Rattus norvegicus: one gene and its partners. The main gene of each other region encodes a partner of the protein of the gene in region 4 in a complex. Links are inferred from orthologs where the notes say so. Each region holds a gene or a part of one and is shown on either strand. Other genes may lie near its edges. The genes, in order: Fgfr1, Fgfr3, Fgfr4 and Fgf23.

Evidence for each region.
Region 1: the proteins of Fgf23 (region 4) and Fgfr1 are in contact, whole or in part, in a cryo-EM structure (PDB 7YSH), measured with the Homo sapiens proteins. The link is inferred for Rattus norvegicus from reciprocal best matches to the Homo sapiens genes FGF23 and FGFR1. Residues at the interface, in NP_065689.1 of Homo sapiens: Leu31, Leu32, Gly33, Ser34, Trp36, Gly37, Tyr43, Ala45, Thr46, Ala47, Arg48, Asn49, Ser50, His52, His66, Ile75, Arg76, Ser77, Glu78, Asp79, Ala80, Gly81, Val83, Val84, Tyr93, Phe108, His117, Gln118, Thr119, Asn122; in NP_075598.2 of Homo sapiens: Glu159, Lys160, Glu162, Lys163, Lys164, Leu165, His166, Ala167, Val168, Pro169, Lys172, Gln244, Asp246, Val248, Glu249, Arg250, Ser251, Pro252, Val279, Tyr280, Ser281, Asp282, Pro283, Gln284, Pro285, His286, Ile287, Ala314, Gly315, Val316.
Region 2: the proteins of Fgf23 (region 4) and Fgfr3 are in contact, whole or in part, in a cryo-EM structure (PDB 7YSU), measured with the Homo sapiens proteins. The link is inferred for Rattus norvegicus from reciprocal best matches to the Homo sapiens genes FGF23 and FGFR3. Residues at the interface, in NP_065689.1 of Homo sapiens: Ser29, Leu32, Gly33, Ser34, Trp36, Tyr43, Ala45, Ala47, Arg48, Asn49, Ser50, His52, Ile75, Arg76, Ser77, Glu78, Asp79, Ala80, Gly81, Val83, Val84, His117, Gln118, Thr119, Asn122, Gly123, Tyr124, Asp125, Leu158, Ser159; in NP_000133.1 of Homo sapiens: Glu157, Arg158, Asp160, Lys161, Leu163, Leu164, Ala165, Val166, Pro167, Arg223, Asp244, Leu246, Glu247, Arg248, Ser249, Pro250, Val277, Tyr278, Ser279, Asp280, Ala281, Gln282, Pro283, His284, Ala312, Gly313, Ala314, Thr316, Thr317, Asp318.
Region 3: the proteins of Fgf23 (region 4) and Fgfr4 are in contact, whole or in part, in a cryo-EM structure (PDB 7YSW), measured with the Homo sapiens proteins. The link is inferred for Rattus norvegicus from reciprocal best matches to the Homo sapiens genes FGF23 and FGFR4. Residues at the interface, in NP_065689.1 of Homo sapiens: Leu32, Gly33, Ser35, Trp36, Gly37, Tyr43, Ala45, Thr46, Ala47, Arg48, Asn49, Ser50, Ile75, Arg76, Ser77, Glu78, Asp79, Ala80, Gly81, Val83, Val84, Tyr93, His117, Gln118, Thr119, Asn122, Gly123, Tyr124, Asp125, Leu158; in NP_001341913.1 of Homo sapiens: Glu156, Lys157, Lys158, Leu159, His160, Ala161, Val162, Pro163, Asn166, Asp240, Leu242, Glu243, Arg244, Ser245, Pro246, Lys272, Val273, Tyr274, Ser275, Asp276, Ala277, Gln278, Pro279, His280, Ala308, Asp309, Ile310, Ser312, Gly336, Asn337.

The regions. Positions count from the first base shown.
Region 1 is NC_086034.1:73,247,042-73,251,129, forward strand, and holds the start of Fgfr1 (fibroblast growth factor receptor 1 precursor), read right to left. Parts: upstream 2,815-4,088; 5' UTR 2,184-2,814; intron 2,014-2,183; exon of another isoform or gene 1,878-2,013; intron 1,809-1,877; exon of another isoform or gene 1,662-1,808; intron 1,584-1,661; exon of another isoform or gene 1,291-1,583; intron 1-1,290. UniProt on the Homo sapiens protein: Tyrosine-protein kinase that acts as a cell-surface receptor for fibroblast growth factors and plays an essential role in the regulation of embryonic development, cell proliferation, differentiation and migration.
Region 2 is NC_086032.1:81,224,409-81,228,592, forward strand, and holds the start of Fgfr3 (fibroblast growth factor receptor 3 precursor), read right to left. Parts: upstream 2,802-4,184; 5' UTR 2,623-2,801; intron 2,268-2,622; 5' UTR 2,179-2,267; coding exon 2,076-2,178; intron 1-2,075.
Region 3 is NC_086035.1:9,478,572-9,482,849, forward strand, and holds the start of Fgfr4 (fibroblast growth factor receptor 4 precursor), read right to left. Parts: upstream 2,819-4,278; 5' UTR 2,696-2,818; intron 1-2,695. UniProt on the Homo sapiens protein: Tyrosine-protein kinase that acts as a cell-surface receptor for fibroblast growth factors and plays a role in the regulation of cell proliferation, differentiation and migration, and in regulation of lipid metabolism, bile acid biosynthesis, glucose uptake, vitamin D metabolism and phosphate homeostasis.
Region 4 is NC_086022.1:161,603,424-161,606,979, forward strand, and holds part of Fgf23 (fibroblast growth factor 23 precursor), read left to right. Parts: intron 1-2,562; coding exon 2,563-2,666; intron 2,667-3,556. UniProt on the Homo sapiens protein: Regulator of phosphate homeostasis. Inhibits renal tubular phosphate transport by reducing SLC34A1 levels. Up-regulates EGR1 expression in the presence of KL. Acts directly on the parathyroid to decrease PTH secretion. Regulator of vitamin-D metabolism.

The DNA of each region.
Region 1 (4,088 bases), on a different chromosome or scaffold from region 4:
TAGGTCACTGAAAGGAAGAGGCACCACCCCAGCGTGGGGGTAATTGGCTAGACGGTGGCTGGTCCCAGGGGCCAGCTACTTAGCTTTAAAACAAGCCCCAGAGAGGAAACCCGGAGCCTGGCCAAGGGAGGAAGAAGGCCACTTTCTGTTCAACCATCTCAGGGCAATGGCTCTACAATTTAGATACTATTCCAAAAAAAGCAATGGTCCGGAGGTGAGAAGACCAGAGCACATCTGGGAAGGAAACAGTCACCTTAATTACCATGTCTAGAGAAAGTGCGATTTCATTACAGCCTCCAAAACTACCGCCCCAAGAAGGAAACCAGAGAAGTGTTTTCAATTTAAAAGACTGGAGAGGGTGAGAGGCACCAGCCCACTCTACCCACCCAGCCGCTAACTTTGGACCTTTTGGATGCTTTGTTGCCCCCCCACCCCCTTCCAAAGGAGTGGACATTCCATCCCTGGCCCTGTAGTCATTGTTTAAACGGCAAAAACACTCCAGTTTAAGCTTCTGAGGACTGCAACCCAGGAAATTCACTGAAAACATAAGGTGTCTCTGGCAGCTACAGTACCAGGGGCTGCGCCCTGCTCCCCAAATGGAGGACGGAACCCGGAGAGGGACTGGGACGCGTGGCGATAGGTGGGCCCGTTGTGTCCACATGAGACAGGCGCTCCAACTATAATTAAAGGGAGAGGCGATACTTGGTTCCAATACACGTCGGGGCCAATTTTGGCTCAGCCCACCGACAAAGGCTACCTCTAGTAAGCAAGCGGCTCTCAAGAGGGTCCAAAGATTCTTAAACACCTCCCCCTCCCCCATCGTCGGCCACCAGCAAGAGAGTGGAAGAATCCAAAACCACTTGCGGATCTATAACTTTCTTTTCTCCTCCAATCCCAAAGCTTCCTCTCCATGTCTCAAGAAATTTTAAGGGGTAGTGGCGGCGGTGGTAAAGACTAGTCCAAGAATCTCAGTTTTAATTTAGGAGGGGGAGGGGAGGAAGAGGGATGTTTAATAATGTGGCTGCGGTGTACCCCGTGTAGGGTGAAACGGAACCAGATGCGGCAGCTACATCTGGGAAATGGGGGGTAGGGTAGGGGGAAAAAAACGCCGTCGAAATGCTTTGCAAATGAGTTAATAGCTTCTAGGCCCAGAAAAGGAGAACTCCCTCCTGTACTCCCAAGGTGTCCAGCTGCCTCACTGGGGGTAAATGTCTATTACAAACCCCATCTATATATTTAAAAAAAAAGTGAGCACATTCCTCCAAAAATATGAATAGTAGGTTGTCTTACCGCGCCGAAGACACCACAGGAGGAGGTGCAGGAAGCGCGGAGAGGGGGTCTGGGCCAGAGAAGCAACAAGCGGGCGGAGGAGGGTTCCACACCGGACAAGCTCTCCTCTCTTCCTCCACTTCCTAGAACGGTCAGACCCCGAGGGCCCCCTCCCCTTCTCCAGACACCTTCAAGAGTCCTCTAGATCTAAGACAAAATAGAACATCACCACCACCACCCCTCAAAAGGGGGGAATCTTTGCTCACTCTCCTCCGCTAAAACCGATTCAGCCATTTGGTGACGAGACCTCCTTCAAACCTATTCCAAGACAAGCTAGCCTTCCCCGCCACTTCCTTTCCTCCTCAACCCCCCAACCTGGACCCCAGACTTGCCGGGAGGTGGAAAAACACTTGAAAAGATCCCAGATGTGGGGTGTTGAGCCCAAAGCCACCGGCTGAATCAGGATGAATCCTCAAGAAGACCAAAAGATGATGCGTGTGTACACACACACACACACACACACACACACACGCACACACACACACTCACATGCACACACTCTCCACCTCCCAGCCCACTCCCGCCCTCCTCCCCAGTAGGGAACACACGGCTTCCGCCGCCTTCTCCTGGGCCGGGAGGGTCGGGGTCTGGACTCGAGCGCCGCAGCTGCCTCGCTAGCTCCGGAGCGCGAGTTGGCGGAAAAAGTTGGGCAGCGGGCAGCAGCGGCGGCCCCGCGCGCGGGGAGGGGGCGCGGGCGGCGACACTGGCCGAGGGAGGAGGGACAGGGGCGCCGGGGAGGGAGCGGAGCAGGGGGAGGGGGGTCGGAAGAGGGAGGCGCGGGCTGCGACTGGCGAAGCGCGGGGGCCGCTCGGGACGCCCAGCCAGCCGGCTCTGCGGGCGCCGGCGACTCTTACCTCACTTGGCGCTGCGGTCCCGCCTCTGGAGAGCTCGCCGTGGCGCGGCGGGTGTCTGTGTCTTGCGCTCCAGCAGCTCGTCCCTGGGATCCGTTCAGGTCCTGGTGGGGTCTCGAGAGCTCCGCGGCCGAGGCACGACTCCCGGCGGCACTCGGAGCCGGGCGCCTCCAGCCCGGGCGGGAACAATGGAGCCGAAGCTGGTGCCCCGGAGGCGGGGCGGGGGGGAGGGCTCGGGTCCGCCGCCGGGGGTCCCCAGATCGTGCGCCCCCCGCTCTCCAGTACGCGGCGGCGGCGTCGTCTCAGGCTTCTGGTAGCCCGAGTTCCATCGCCCCTCCGAGGGCTACGGCGGGCATTGACTGCAGCACGGCTGTGGTGCGCCTCTGGGACCTGAGAAAAGTCCTCGGTCTCCGCTGCTTTTCCAGCTGCGGCGCGCGCTCGCGGCCGGGAAAGGCGAGGTCGCCGCAATGCGCTAAGCACAGTCTCCGTCCAGTCCGGACGTTGCGGCCCCGTTCCCTGCGCAGCCCGGATCCTCGGCACGCAGCGGCTGCACCGGCGTTCCGGCTCGCGTTCGGCGCCACCGGCTGCCGAGAGCCCCGCAAAGGTTCCCGCAGGAGCGCTCCGAGCGCTGTGCGCCGGCGAGGCGCGAGGGCTCGCTCTCTCACTCCCACCCGGCGCTAGTCCCACCTCCTCCTCCTCCCCCTGCAGTTGCCTGCTGGGCCTTGTAGTTCTCAAGTCGCAGCCCGGGAGAAGCCCGGAGCGAACAGAACTGTTCTACAGTCAGGTCTGACTTGAGTTTCGCCTGGAGGGCGCCCGAATTTCAGGCTGTGGGTAGATCAGCAATTTGGGGACCGAAGCGGAGGGCGGGGAGGGGCGGGGGCCTGGCTATAGTTTTGAGGCTGTACTTGGCAACTTGGTCTTTGGTTATCTGTGTGCCTTGGGGTATGATTTTCGTGCTCTGAATCTGTTTTCCTGTAATGTAAAAGGGAGATAATAATACAGGAAAAATACAGTAAAGTGGAGGAAAAAATCGGACCCTCATATAGTTCACAATAAATACAAACTGTTTTTATTGATGGATCGGTCAACTTTCCCCCTCAGACCTTTTCCTTGGATCTCAACTTTCCCCAGCCACATAATTTAGGTTTTGTGGTTCACTCCGGAATGGACCCTGTGAATTCTACAGTGCTGCTCGTTGTAGCCTCAGAAATCATTAGCTTTCAGGAAGCAAGCGAGGAGAGGAGGGGTTTGGTTTTGTTTTGTTTTGTTTTTCGGGTTAGGGTTGTTTACTTGCTTGCTTGTTTTGTTTTTTTCGCCTTAGGAATTAATCAGAGTCAACCCAGAGCCCCCATGTTATACTCTGAACCTCAAGGAAAAATCGCTGAAATGCCCTTCCCACCAGATCCATTCACAGAGCAGTTAATCTGTGGTTCTTTAATCCAACAGGTCCAGTGGACATGAATCACGTCGAGAATGTTGAAATATACAAATATTCCAGTCCTACTTGGACACGAGGAATCCCGATATTTCTGTGAAACACACTAACAAGTATGAGACAGTTAGTAGGGTCTTTACATAGTTTCAGGAGCTCGGTTTCTAGCACCGAATAGGTCAAAAGTGACGATGCACACCTGCAAAGCTAGTGCTAGGAAGGTGGAGGATCAGAGGCTTAAAATCACCACCGTTGGCCGCATAAGAACTGAGAAGACAACCTGTGCTTACAGACCCTGTCTTGAACAAATTAAACAAATGGGCTGGGGTTGCAGCTTAGCTAGAAGACGGAGCTTTGATTCCAGCACACTCCAAACCTGACTAGGTGGTCCATGCCTCAGATTTGATACATGGCAATGGGGAGGGGGGGACACTCTGCCATGTGATGTCTAGTTGGGGACCCCTGGGAGGGCGGAA
Region 2 (4,184 bases), on a different chromosome or scaffold from region 4:
AATTTTCAACCTGGCAGGTCACCTCTCCCCAAGACATCATCTACCCCCTAACCCGGGTAACTCGTTTTCCTTTTAGGTGCTACTGAAAAAAAAAGCGGGGGGGGGGCGGGGGGTTTCCAGATCCCAAGTGGAACCTGGGACCTGGGGGGGACAAGGTGATTCTAGGCTCGATATAAGATCTAAAGCTTCAGGGTCTAAGATCAGCCCAGGTTAATGAACCACCGGGAGGGCCAGCAGGGCTCAAAGTTCAGCCTTCCGAGCGCGGGGGAAGGTGGGGTACAAGGGAGGAGAAAGGCCCTGCTTCTGCAAGCCGGCCTGGGGGTCAACCTCTGGACCCCCTATGTTACTCTCTCCAAACTAAGCACACCAGCAGGGCTTCCCTCACCAAGGGTGGCCAAGTTAGACTGGCACCTAGCCCCGCCCCACAGCCCTTGACCCCAGCCAGCTCCAGCTTGGTAATTTATGTTCGTAGGGAAAGCGCCAGCCCGGACCTCTGTAAACTTCACCAGTCTTTGTATTTTTACAGCCCGGCCCATCTCGTTAAGGAACCGGATTAAGTTTATTGGCCTATCAATTCCCTACCTGTCTCACCAGCTCAAACTCAGAAGTGAAGGGCAGGCGCACATCCCACCGATCCCTGGAGGCCTAGCTCAGCTTCGGTTCCCGCAGCAGGGTCGTGCCAGGAGGCCACAGTCACTGCCTGGAGCACAGAGAGGATGTGCGCTCCGCCCCGCCGCCCCTACCCGAGCTCACTGACACCCGACGCAAAGAGTAATATCTTCATCTGAATGCACATGCTAATGTGGTCCCTCAGCCGGCCATTGGGCGCCCGGGAAGCTAGGCAATCGTAGCAGGCGCTAAAAGCGCGCGCTGACCTCCCGACCGCCTCTGTCACGCCGCTGAAAGACACGCACATTCAAACTCCCGGCCCACTTTCATTCATAAAAAAAAAAAAAAGAAAGAAAGAAAGAAAGAAAGAAAGAAAGAAAGAAAGAAAGAAAGAAAGAAAGAAAGAAAGAAAGAAAGAAAGAAAGAAAGAAAGGAAAAAAAATGACATTGTTCCAGGAGGCTCCAGCCGCTGGAGAGAGGGGCGCGGGGGCGCGGGAGGGGCACACCGCCATCTGCCTCCTCCCGCTGCGCCCGCCGCACTCGCACCTCCCCGAGAGGCAACGCCGCCATCAATGCGCGGTCTGTGGCCGCCGAGGTACAAAGGAGCGGCTGTTCGGGCCTCAGCTCGGGTGGGGCAACAGCTTACCGAGCGAAAGCCTCCCTTCGCGCGGCCTCCCGCCAGACCGCTGCTCTGCTTTGCCACGCTGCCACCGGGCACAGCCGGGGGCCGCGCGCGTCGCACCTCCGGGCAGCCGCGGGACGCAGAGCGGACCGTGGCTCCTTTTCGTATCCTTGGCCTCCAGCCCCGTTTGAGGGCACTCAGTGTCCCATCGGACTTTGGCGGCCAGAGGACTATCTAGGCGGTGCCAAGATCTTGGGACAACCGCCCCTCATCTCCCAGCGTGCGGCCTGCAGGGCGGTCCGTGCGCGCCCCTGGGAACCGACCCCTCAGGCAGCGTACGGGATAAGAGGGGAGCGGCGGCTCTGAAGCTGTCACCTTGTCATGCGAGACACTGAGAGCTGAGCTTTGGCTGAGATACTACTATCCACTCCGCAATGTCGAGCCTTCCTTTAGCAGAAGCAGAGCAAGAACTATTCCGGGAGGATGGCGGAACCAATAACCAGGCACTTTTCGTCCTCTCAAATCCGAGAAGCAACAATAGGCATCGTGGGAAGTCAGCTTGCGCGCCTTCCCGACGCACCTCGGCCTGGGACCACCGCCACGGCGCACCGCTCCCCGTGACGCCTCGCACTTGGGTGGTGGCTCTCAGCCTACAGACACCCCCATAAACTGCCGCGTCCGAGCTGACAGCTATCTGCAGGCCGGGGAACAAAACCCAGGCGCACTGGCCCCTGTGGTGCTACTCAACCCAATGCCCCTTCCTCACCCAAGGGCTGTTCGCTGATGCCAAAACCCCTAGAGTCCAGGGCCGGTTACCGGAAAAACAGCTTGGGTCCGTCCTTACCTGCCGCTCTCCGACCAACTCGCTGCTCTGGACCGGGAGGCTCGGAAGTAACTCCAGCCACGACCGCCACGCAGAACACTAGCACGCAGGCCGGGACTACCATGGCTCCGGAGCTGGGGCCGTGGCGTCCTCAAGCGATGCGCGCGGGCATGCTGCAACCCCCCACACCCGGCTCCGGCGCCGCTGCGGAGACTACAGGAGAAGAACACTGAGTTACTCCGGAGGGCAGCGGGGAAGCGCGGCCTCGCTCCTGAGCCGGGACCCCGGCAGCCCGGCCCGCCCGCCCGCCGACTCCTAGCTCTCCCGGGCTGCCTGGCGCCGGCCGCCTCCTCCCAGCCGCGGTTCCTCCCTCCTCCTTCCCTCCCTGGTTGCCGCAGAGCCCTCCCAGGACGGCCGCAGTAGCCGCAAACTTTCCAGAGCGGGAAGCCCGAGCCTTGCCTGGCCTCCCCGCACTTACAGACTGCTCCACTTCCACCCCATCGCACCCCCTGACTGCTTCTGAGCCCGCCCGGCCCCTCCGAGCGCCAGCGGAGTCCTTCACACCAACCTGGCGGCCGCCGCTAGAGCCCAGCTCACCACTCGCGGCTCCGGCTTCGGCTCTCGGCCGGCTCTTCCAGGCTCTCCTCTGTCCCAGTGGCCGGCCGCCCACCCCACCGGTGAGTCCCCTCGCCGGAGCGGACCGCACGGCGCCAGCTGCTCCCGCCACCCCCGCTGCCACAGCTCACTGAACTGGGGCTGCCCGGCGCGCAGCAGCGGGGGGGGGGGGGCTGCTCCCGCCACGCCCCGAACACTCCCCTTCCCCGGCGGCCAAGGGGCGGGGGATCCGAAGAGGCGTGGTCAGGCGGGGGCGCCGGGCGGTCCCGGAGGGCGTGGGAGCCCAGCTGGGGCGGAGCGGGCGAGGCCAGGGTCGCACACTCGACCCCTCGAAGCAATGCGGAGCTCAGGACTGTCTACCAGCACGCTTCTCCAATAATGCTGTGCTCAGGGGCTCAGAGGGTTGACCTCGGTGGGGGTCCAGGTGTTAGGGCATCTTCACAGTGAACCGGCACCTGAGCTGAACCCTGGGCAAAGAACGCTAAATGCTTAGATGCAGAGCCCCGACAGTATTCTGGGAAGACAAATACGTGTGAAGAGACCTTTCAGTGAAGGATGGGGCAGAGTTTATGTGATGGAAGACACAGGGATTGCACCCTAGAAAAGGAGGACATGCTGCTGTATTTATCAAACCAACCAGTGGCCCGCATCCTTCTCAGGAATGATAGCCACGCTTCCCCCAAGAACACATAGGTTTGGAAGAAACTTACCCAGCCTCAGAATAACAAGAAGAGCTGAGGATACAAAGTAGGGGAGCCTGCCCTGCCCCAGGGCTGCCTGAACTCTAGCCTAAAGATGCCCTAGCACAGCACACCCATCTTGGGGACACATTCCATCTGGAGAGTGTCACACTGACAGCTGGTCCCTGGAGGATCAGCCTGGTCACCCTATCGTGCTGGCGAGCTATAGGTCCTGCCTGGCAGAACTTCTGTGACAGCAACCAACACCACCCTGTGACTGATGGCCTCTGTATCTACCCTCCCAAAGCAGGGAGCCTTGTCTCATTTTCAAACTCCACAAGGTCTGATGAGGCCTATGGGAGCCAGATACCTGAGGTCTTGGCTCAGTGCTTCTGCCCAGTCTGGCTGTGTGTGACTCGAGGGACTTTACACTGTCAAAAAAAAAAAAAAAAAAAAAAAAAAAAAAAAAAAAAAAGGCAAGTGGGCCATGCAAACACTTCACTGGCTCACTGATCGCTCTTATCTTTCCCAGAGAGCTGAGCAGGGCCCTGCCCCCAGAGCCCTCATGCAATCCCGTGTCCACTCAAGAGCTGGGCAGCTCTACCGACTGTTACTCCTGCTCTAGCCAAGCACCCCTCCCTGCAGACTGGCTAGAATCCAGTCCTGGGTTCCCATGACACCCCCAGGCAGCTGCCCACAGTCCCTCTCCCAGGATGCCACCCCAGGGGGTCATAGCAGACATTCTCCCCTAATCTATTGGCAGATTAGTTATCAGTAAATGAACCAGAATGTGAGCTCTGACCCCTGTGTCCACCCCCTTCGTCTGGAGGATTTA
Region 3 (4,278 bases), on a different chromosome or scaffold from region 4:
GGTCCCATTCTTTGTTTTGCAGATGAAGACCCAGAGACAGGAAGCAGTCAGCAGGCTCATCCAAACCCCACAAGGCATAGCAGGGCAGAGACTGGAGCCAGCACTGCTGGGCAGAGCCCTGGCCTCCCCATAGGAGGTTCTGCAGGGCGTGTGCGGACTTCCTGCTGTCTTGGGTCCTACTGTGACCTGGCATGCCTTCACAGAGAGAGCAGTCTCGGGATTCTTTCCTTGGGAGGAAGCAGAGATGGCGGCTTATCCTGGACACATCATTTATTTTCTGCTGAATAAATGAATTCATTGCTGAAGGCTCAAAGAAGAAAAGGGAAACCTAATACAAGGCCAGCCTTCAGCATCTGGACGCCATCGGATGGGACCTCGCTCTTGAGTATTATTGGCATTTCCACATCCAGCTTGGGATGCCTCCAGTGGTGGGTGCCCAAAGGAGGTGCAGCCCAAATCGAGGACATTCTTTCTCCTTCTGAGCCAGGAAAGCATCCTGAGGACACTTCCGGTGGTTTGCACCCTCACGGCTCTGTCTTAGACAATGTAGGAGCTCGCTCCGCTTTGTTTATTGTTTTTGTTTTTTTCTGAGTTGTGGATTGAACCTGAGACCTCCCTGCATGCTAAGCAAAGCCTCTGCCACCGCTTTCGTGTCGAGGTGGCTTGGGAATTGACACAGATTTTACACGTCTGGTAGCAACAATTTCAAATCCCGGTTTCCCACCAAGACCTACCTTTCTGAACCGTTATCATCATAAGGTTGCTTCAGGGACAAAGAGGGACCATACATGGAGGGATGGCACACACACAGAGCATTATTGGTGAGATGTTCTCACTGTCCCCATACTGAGTGTGCACCTTGGTCTGACCTTAATCAGTGTCTACTTGTGCAGTAGATACACACGCTTGTCCAAATGCTGCTGTGAGCGTCTGTTTCCCTAAAGGAAGACTCTGGCGTAAGCCTTAACTTGACCAGGAAACCAGTGGAGTCCCAGGGACACACAGGCTGTTACCTATCCTGGATAGCAACCAGGTATCACCAGCATCTTTGGATCAGGGTTCTTTCCCTTAGGACCCTGCTTTTGTTGGGCAAGGGCTTTGTGAGTGTGTATGAGGTCCTTGCACAGGGGCTGTGCTAATTTCTGTATTGGTCCAACTTTAGTACCTAACCAAACTGGGAACCCTGCCCAGGGAGCCCATTATACCCATTCTACCATTCTCAGCCCACTGCTGAGGAAGACACAGGCCTAAGCCTTGGTTGGTCCACTGACCTCATCAATGTCTCTCAGCTTTCCTACCCCACTTAGGTTAAGTCATGGTCATTTCTTGCTTGGTATCTTGGCAAATCTCAGGTCTTCACCGCCCAGCTGTTTGTTTGGCCTTTTTTGTTTTGTTTTGGTCTGGTCCCTGATGGTTGTGAGCCACCATGTGGTTGCTGGGAATTGAACTCAGGACCTCTGAAGAGCAGTCAGAGTTCTTAACCACTGAGCCATCTCTCCAGCCCTGTTTTCTCCCTGTTACCTAGTTTACAAGCCCCTGAGGGTTAACTGCAGACCTGCAGACCGCCCTTTTCCTCTCTCTCTCTCTCTCTCTCTCTCTCTCTCTCTCTCTCTCTCTCTCTCTCTCTCTATTATTTTGAGACAAATTCTCACTAAAGTTGGCCAGGCAGACTGGCATTGAAACTCACTCTGTAAACCGAGTAGGTCTTCAACTTGTAAGCCTCCTGCCTCAGCCTGGCTAGCCCCCGTTAAGGCCCTTCATTTTAAACGCCAGTGTTAGTCCCACTGTCTGTCCCTTCAGTAAATTCTAAAAGCCAGCACGTTTACTTTCCTGTCTGTACCTCTGTGTCACTCATTCCTTTTGTCGACCAGCTTAGCTATCATTTTAAAACCCCCCTTGACATGGGGGTTGGGGATTTAGCTCAGTGGTAGAGCGCTTGCCTAGCCAGCGCAAGGCCCTGGGTTCGGTCCCCAGCTCCGGAAAAAAAACAAAACAAAAAAAAAGAACCTTGACCTGTCCCCCTACCCTTAGTTTGGTCTGCTCATCGGCAAAAGACTCCTACCACACCCTGCTAAGCAGAGAGGGCCGATTTTCGTCTCCAGCTTGGATTGGGGTGGACAGGTCCAGGGAGGTTTTATTCCCACTCCCACGCTGCCCTGAACTCTCAATCACAGAGTTCTTAGTCTGGTCACTTCTGCTGGCCGCTGAGGATTGCTAACCCTTAGTTGTCCTGCACTCACACGAAGAGGTGCTCTGTGCAAGTGACTGCGAGAGTTAATTTCCTCATCAATTTGGCCAGAGCGCGTCTGTCACCCAGCCCAAAGGCGACAGTGCTCTTATTTTAGTGCCCCTATCCCGTCGCCCTCGGAGGAAGGTGCACGTCAACGGTCTCCATGCGGAGTTGCATAGACAGCTGGCCCATCGCCCCCGCCTCGGTGGGCAATAAGTAACCAGAGCGGTGACCAGGGTGCTCTTTGAACGGAGGGGGACAAAAGGCCCTGTGTGCGCTGCGGGTTACTGATTTACCGTCCCCTCCACCCAACCACTCCCGCCGCGCGGGCGCCAAGGTCCCCGGGACTGAAGGGGCAGCTCCCGAGCTCCACCGCCGCGGTCCCCAAGGCGGCCCGGAGTACGGTGTGTGGCCCGGCTTGCCCAGAGTTAGAGGGTCGGCTCCCTGTGCAGGGGCTCGGCTCACCTGGCTCCTCCGCCACCCGGTTCCCGTGCTCGGGGGTCACGATCCCGGCAGGGCTGGCACACTCACCCGCCTGGAGCTCCTCCGCCCCGGGCCGAAGAGCCAGGAATGTCCCTGCAACTACAGCGTGGCGGGGGGCTGCCCACCTCCTGCCCCGCCCACCTCGGGCTCCGCCCCTCCTGGACCAGTTCTGATCTGAGAGGCGTGGTTCGAGATCTGGCTAAAGTCAGCCGGGCACCCAAGTGCAAGAGCTCCGGGTGGTACTGGATTTCCCAGTCTCAGCCGCTCCAGGGCCCCTGGTACAACCTGCGAGGTGTGACCTGCTACTTGCTCTATTCTTTGCTCTACACCACCTTGGAACTCACCAGGCTCTCTGGTTTCCCGTGCAATCGCAGTACCTCTGATAGATCTGACCTCTTCTTTGCCTGAGCGACCTTCGGAGGATATTTAAAATGCATCTCCGTCGGGGTGGTGGTGGTAGTGGTGGCGTCGCATTCCTTTAATCCCAGCACTGGGGAGGCAGAGGCAGGTGGATCTCTGTGTTTCAGGCCAGCCTGGTCTACATAGGGAGTTCCAGGACAGCCATGGCTACACAGAGAAACCCCGTCTCAGGGCGGGGTGGGGGTGGGAGACAAAACAACCAACCAACAAGCCAACTAAATATATAAATAATTTAAAATAAATAAAGTACATATTCAGGCCGAGCCTGGTAATCCCAGCTACTCAAAAGGGTAAGGCACAAGTGACACAGCGACTCAATGAGACTCAGTCTGAAAAGAAAATAAAAACAAAAGCAAAACCACAAAAAGCACCGCCGCTGTCACCACCACCACCACCACCACCACCACCACCAACAACAACAACAACAACAAAACCCACAAACAAACAGGGAGCCTAGCAGTTGAGCAAGGCTCTAAAATCCTAGTGTAAAAGACAAACGCTGGAACTTTCTTTTTAAAAACATTTATTTATTTATTTATTTATTTATTTATTTATTTATTTATGTGCATTGGTGTTTTTCCTCCATGTATGTACATGTGAGGGTGTTGGATCCCCCGGAACTGGAGTTACAGACAGTTGTGAGCTGCCTGTAGGTGCTGGGAATTGAACCAGGATTCCTCTGGAAGAGCAGCAAATACTTACTACTCTATCGGGCCTACCTTGCTCTTTTTTAAAAATTAAAAATTTAAACTTTAGCTTTTAAAAAGTTGTAGTCTTTACTTTTTTTCTTTTCTTTTTTTTTTTTCGGAGCTGAGGACCGAACCCAGGACCTTGCGCTTGCTAGGCAAGCGCTCTACCACTGTAGTCTTTACTTTTAAACGTTTAAATGTTCATTTTAAAAAGTTTTAATTTTGTTGTTAAAAAGATTTATTTTATATTCTGCTTTGCTTGCGTGTTTGTCTAATTGCCTGCAGATACCAGAAGAGGGCCGATTTTCCTGGAACTGGAGTCATAGACTTGAATCCAGATCCTCTGAAATGGTAGCCAGTGCCTTTAATCAGGGACGTATTTCTCTGGCCCTTAAACTTTACTGTTAAGTTTATTTGTTTTTGTTTTCTGTTTTTTTTTTTTTTTTTTTAAACAGT
Region 4 (3,556 bases):
TTCCTCCTAATCGATTACAAATAGCAGAGCATGGTTTAATTATGACCTCATTCATTTATTTTTTTCGTTTATTGTACTTTATCGGTATGACTGTCTTGTTTGCATATATGTGTGCACACCACATGCATGCAGTACTGGAAGTCATTACAGCTTCAGGAAGACAAAATGAGGCAAATGCTTCTACAGTCCCATTTCAAAGCTTTGCTTTAGTAAATTCGTGGTTTAGAGTTGAGTGTCCGACTCCTGCTCTGGTCATTGGTCTTGACAAGATGGAATGAACTGCCCCAAAGATGCTCTAAGCTCCCCTGAGCTCAGAAGGCTCTTGGATCTCTTCAGGGTCAGTAAGCTTTTTCTAATCTGAGCAAGCCCAGCTTCCCATTCTCCATCAGGCACGGAGTTTGCAAATAGCAGAAGAGACTTGCTTATCGCTTTTGCTTAGGAGCCCACTCTTTCCCTGGGTGGCTTAGCCTGTGCTTGGCCAAGTGAATTTCTCTGCTAACTTTTGTTGATTTCAAAAACAAAAAACAAAAAACAAAAAACAAAAAACAAAAAAAACCTAAGCGCTCCCCGTCGGAAGCCACTGGCCCTAGAATGAGGGCATGTATACTGTGCTCACTGTCTGCAGTGTTTCCAATCATCAGACAGGCTGGCATGACGTCAGGGTGTGGGTGTGGTCAACTGTCAGGTTGCCTCTTGGAAGCCATTAGCAATTTTGATGGTGATAACACTGCAAAGCAGGCTGGAACTGCTATGTTATGCTCTGGAGACTATGGCAGTCCCACAGGCTGCCCTGGGCTGTGGCAGTGAGACTCCTGTGGCTACAGGGCACTTAAGGAGCCACACAGGGCATCATCCCTCATGGGCACAGACACTTGGTGTCCCCGTGATATTTCAGTACCTTCTCTGTTAGAGGCTACAGCTGCAGGGCAGGAAGATGTCACTGACCTGAGTTTGAATCCTTCTTTGTCTCTTAAAGATGCTTCTACAATTGCTAAAATGATAATGATGTTAATTTTAACGAAATAACAGTTGTTTTGAGAATTTAAAATAGAGTACATAAGAGGGCACACACAAAAAAAAAAGAAAGAAAAGAAAACTTCACTAAATGTAATCTCCTGCCCCCCCCCATTTGATTGAACCAAAAAGCTCTCAGGACATAAATTCCTCTGTATTTCATTATGTATGTCTGGGCTTACATAAAATCAGCCATGTATCTGAGACACATAGCCAAATGCCATTTTGGAAGACTACGTGTGGTACCTCTCCACTCTTGCCAGTTTTCATGAATGCTAACCCACACACAAACTCTGAAACAAATGAAGTTCCCTGATTGGTCCTCTCTGCCGTCATCTTCCCAGGCTCAGGCCTACCCTCATTCCCTTTGAGCACATCAACCAGCTTCAGCCTGTACCAGCTTCTGTAGTTAGGCAACACGTAACCTTTGCCTGCTCACTCCCCTTGAAAGTCTTCGTTTGGAGTCTACATGGGGTAGGAAAGAAGCCTTGGGCTTCAAATTATCCCATGAAGCTCTACCACATGTTAGTCACAGACTGTGTTCTCTTAAGAGGAATTAAAAGTCCTATCAGGGCAGGCTCCTTGGGGCTGTGAAATGAGGTTCAGCAGGCAGTTGGAAGTGTCCTTAAACATCTAAGCAAATTATTTCTAACAGAAAATATCCAGTCTTGCTGATCACCATACATTTTACAGCACAGTGTGGCTTAATCTTATCTTTGGTACAGAACACCCATTTAAAGGTATTGACCATTGTCTAAAATGATACAAGCATGCTCCAAGCCTTAGTCAAAGGCAAGCTTTCAAGTGGGGCCATTGGAAGATGCCCAGGACCAGCATCTATGAAGAACATCTCCAACTGAGAAGAGACACAAAGGACTGGGTCCAAAAAAGCAAATTCTATCTATCCCTGGATCCCATCTACTAAACATGAGGAAGGGCCCTGCTCCTCTGGGGGAAGGTTTTAGGCGTGCAAATATGGTAGCGTGGTGGGGGGTACACTGTAGTAACAGCAGGGGCACTGTGCTAAAGAGCAATCGGTTTTGATTAGGGAGATAAGAAGGCTCAGAGATGGCTGCGACTGGCCTTGAAGGTTAAACAACTTCAACAGGCAGGGAAGAGAGATCAGCTTCATATTGGTTGAGACATGCAGTGGGGAAGAACCAGGCTCTCTACAGTGGGGTCTTTGAATAAAATTCAACATACATTTTAACATCATAGAAACAGATGTCTTAGACAGGGACAATGGCTGCCTTAAACACTAAAAGATACTAGCCAGGCAAAGAGGGGGTAGCAATGGGTGGAGGACAATCTGTATGCTACACAGATGGGGGATTATTGGGAGATCGAGACTCGTGCAGTAAGAGGATGAAACAGGAGGTACATAAGTGTTGGTGTTGGAGTTGGGGTCACGGAAATGAAAGAGACAGTAAGACACGGAGGGGCTGTGTAATGCCGCCCCCTACAGAGAGGTGTCTCGGAGGTGTCTTTTCAGAGAGCATTTCAAGGAAGGGAAAACTGCACAGTTTGACCTGAGAGGTCCTCTTACAGGTGCCCTGATGATCACATCAGAGGATGCTGGCTCCGTAGTGATAATAGGGGCCATGACCAGAAGGTTCCTTTGTATGGATCTCCGCGGCAACATTTTTGGATCGGTGAGTTTCTTTATGTGATGGTCACCACATTATAATGACTGTCTCTCCTTTTCTAAGATTCGAGTTTTAAAATTGTATGCCTGTGTGTGGGAACTGAACTCTGGGACAGAAGAATGTACAAAAGCTTAATCACTGAGCCATCTTTCCCTCTCTTTACTGTATCAGGGCTTTAGAGATTCCTTGATCATTCAGTCTTAGGGAATGTTCAAGATTTCACAGCTGCGGTTTGGAATGAGGCTCTGGGCCTTTAGTCTGCCCTGTCGCCTAAGACCCATTCTTGCATGGAGCACAGTCCCTAGTATGTTGTAGGTTCTAAAGCCATGTCAAATATGTTTCTAATTCATACATTAGAAAGGGTGAGAGGTTCTTGGTGTCTTCTCAGTTCTGTTACAGACCATGACCTTGGGTAACTCCCCTCACTCCTTCCAATTTCAGTTTCTTCCCTTGGAATAAGTGAGGTGGAATGGACCACGTGACTTGCAGCTCTCCCTCCTATTAATGACCTCCGATTAATTTCCTGTGCCCTTGGGGGTGATGGCTGGCCCTTCAGATCATAAATCAAGGTTTTCCTAACCTAAAGGCTTAAAGTGTAGTCCAAGTAATTTTGACATACAAACAAAGAAAGATAAGTTGATTCAGGAATCTCTTATCAATGCCCTCTACAACGTTCCTGAGGTAAAAGATTTCTGTTCTGTTACCGCGGTGCACCTCCCAGCACCTATAATGCCATCTGTCCAGGGTAGATAGATTTCTACACACACAGAAAGCCCTCTCCTCCAGAATTCTTTGTACAGTTTGGGAAACAATGTCGCATGTAAAGATCCAAGCAGGCACTCAATGAAGCTCAGTACTAAGAGGAGAGTAAGGTTCAAACACAGAGTAGCTGTTAG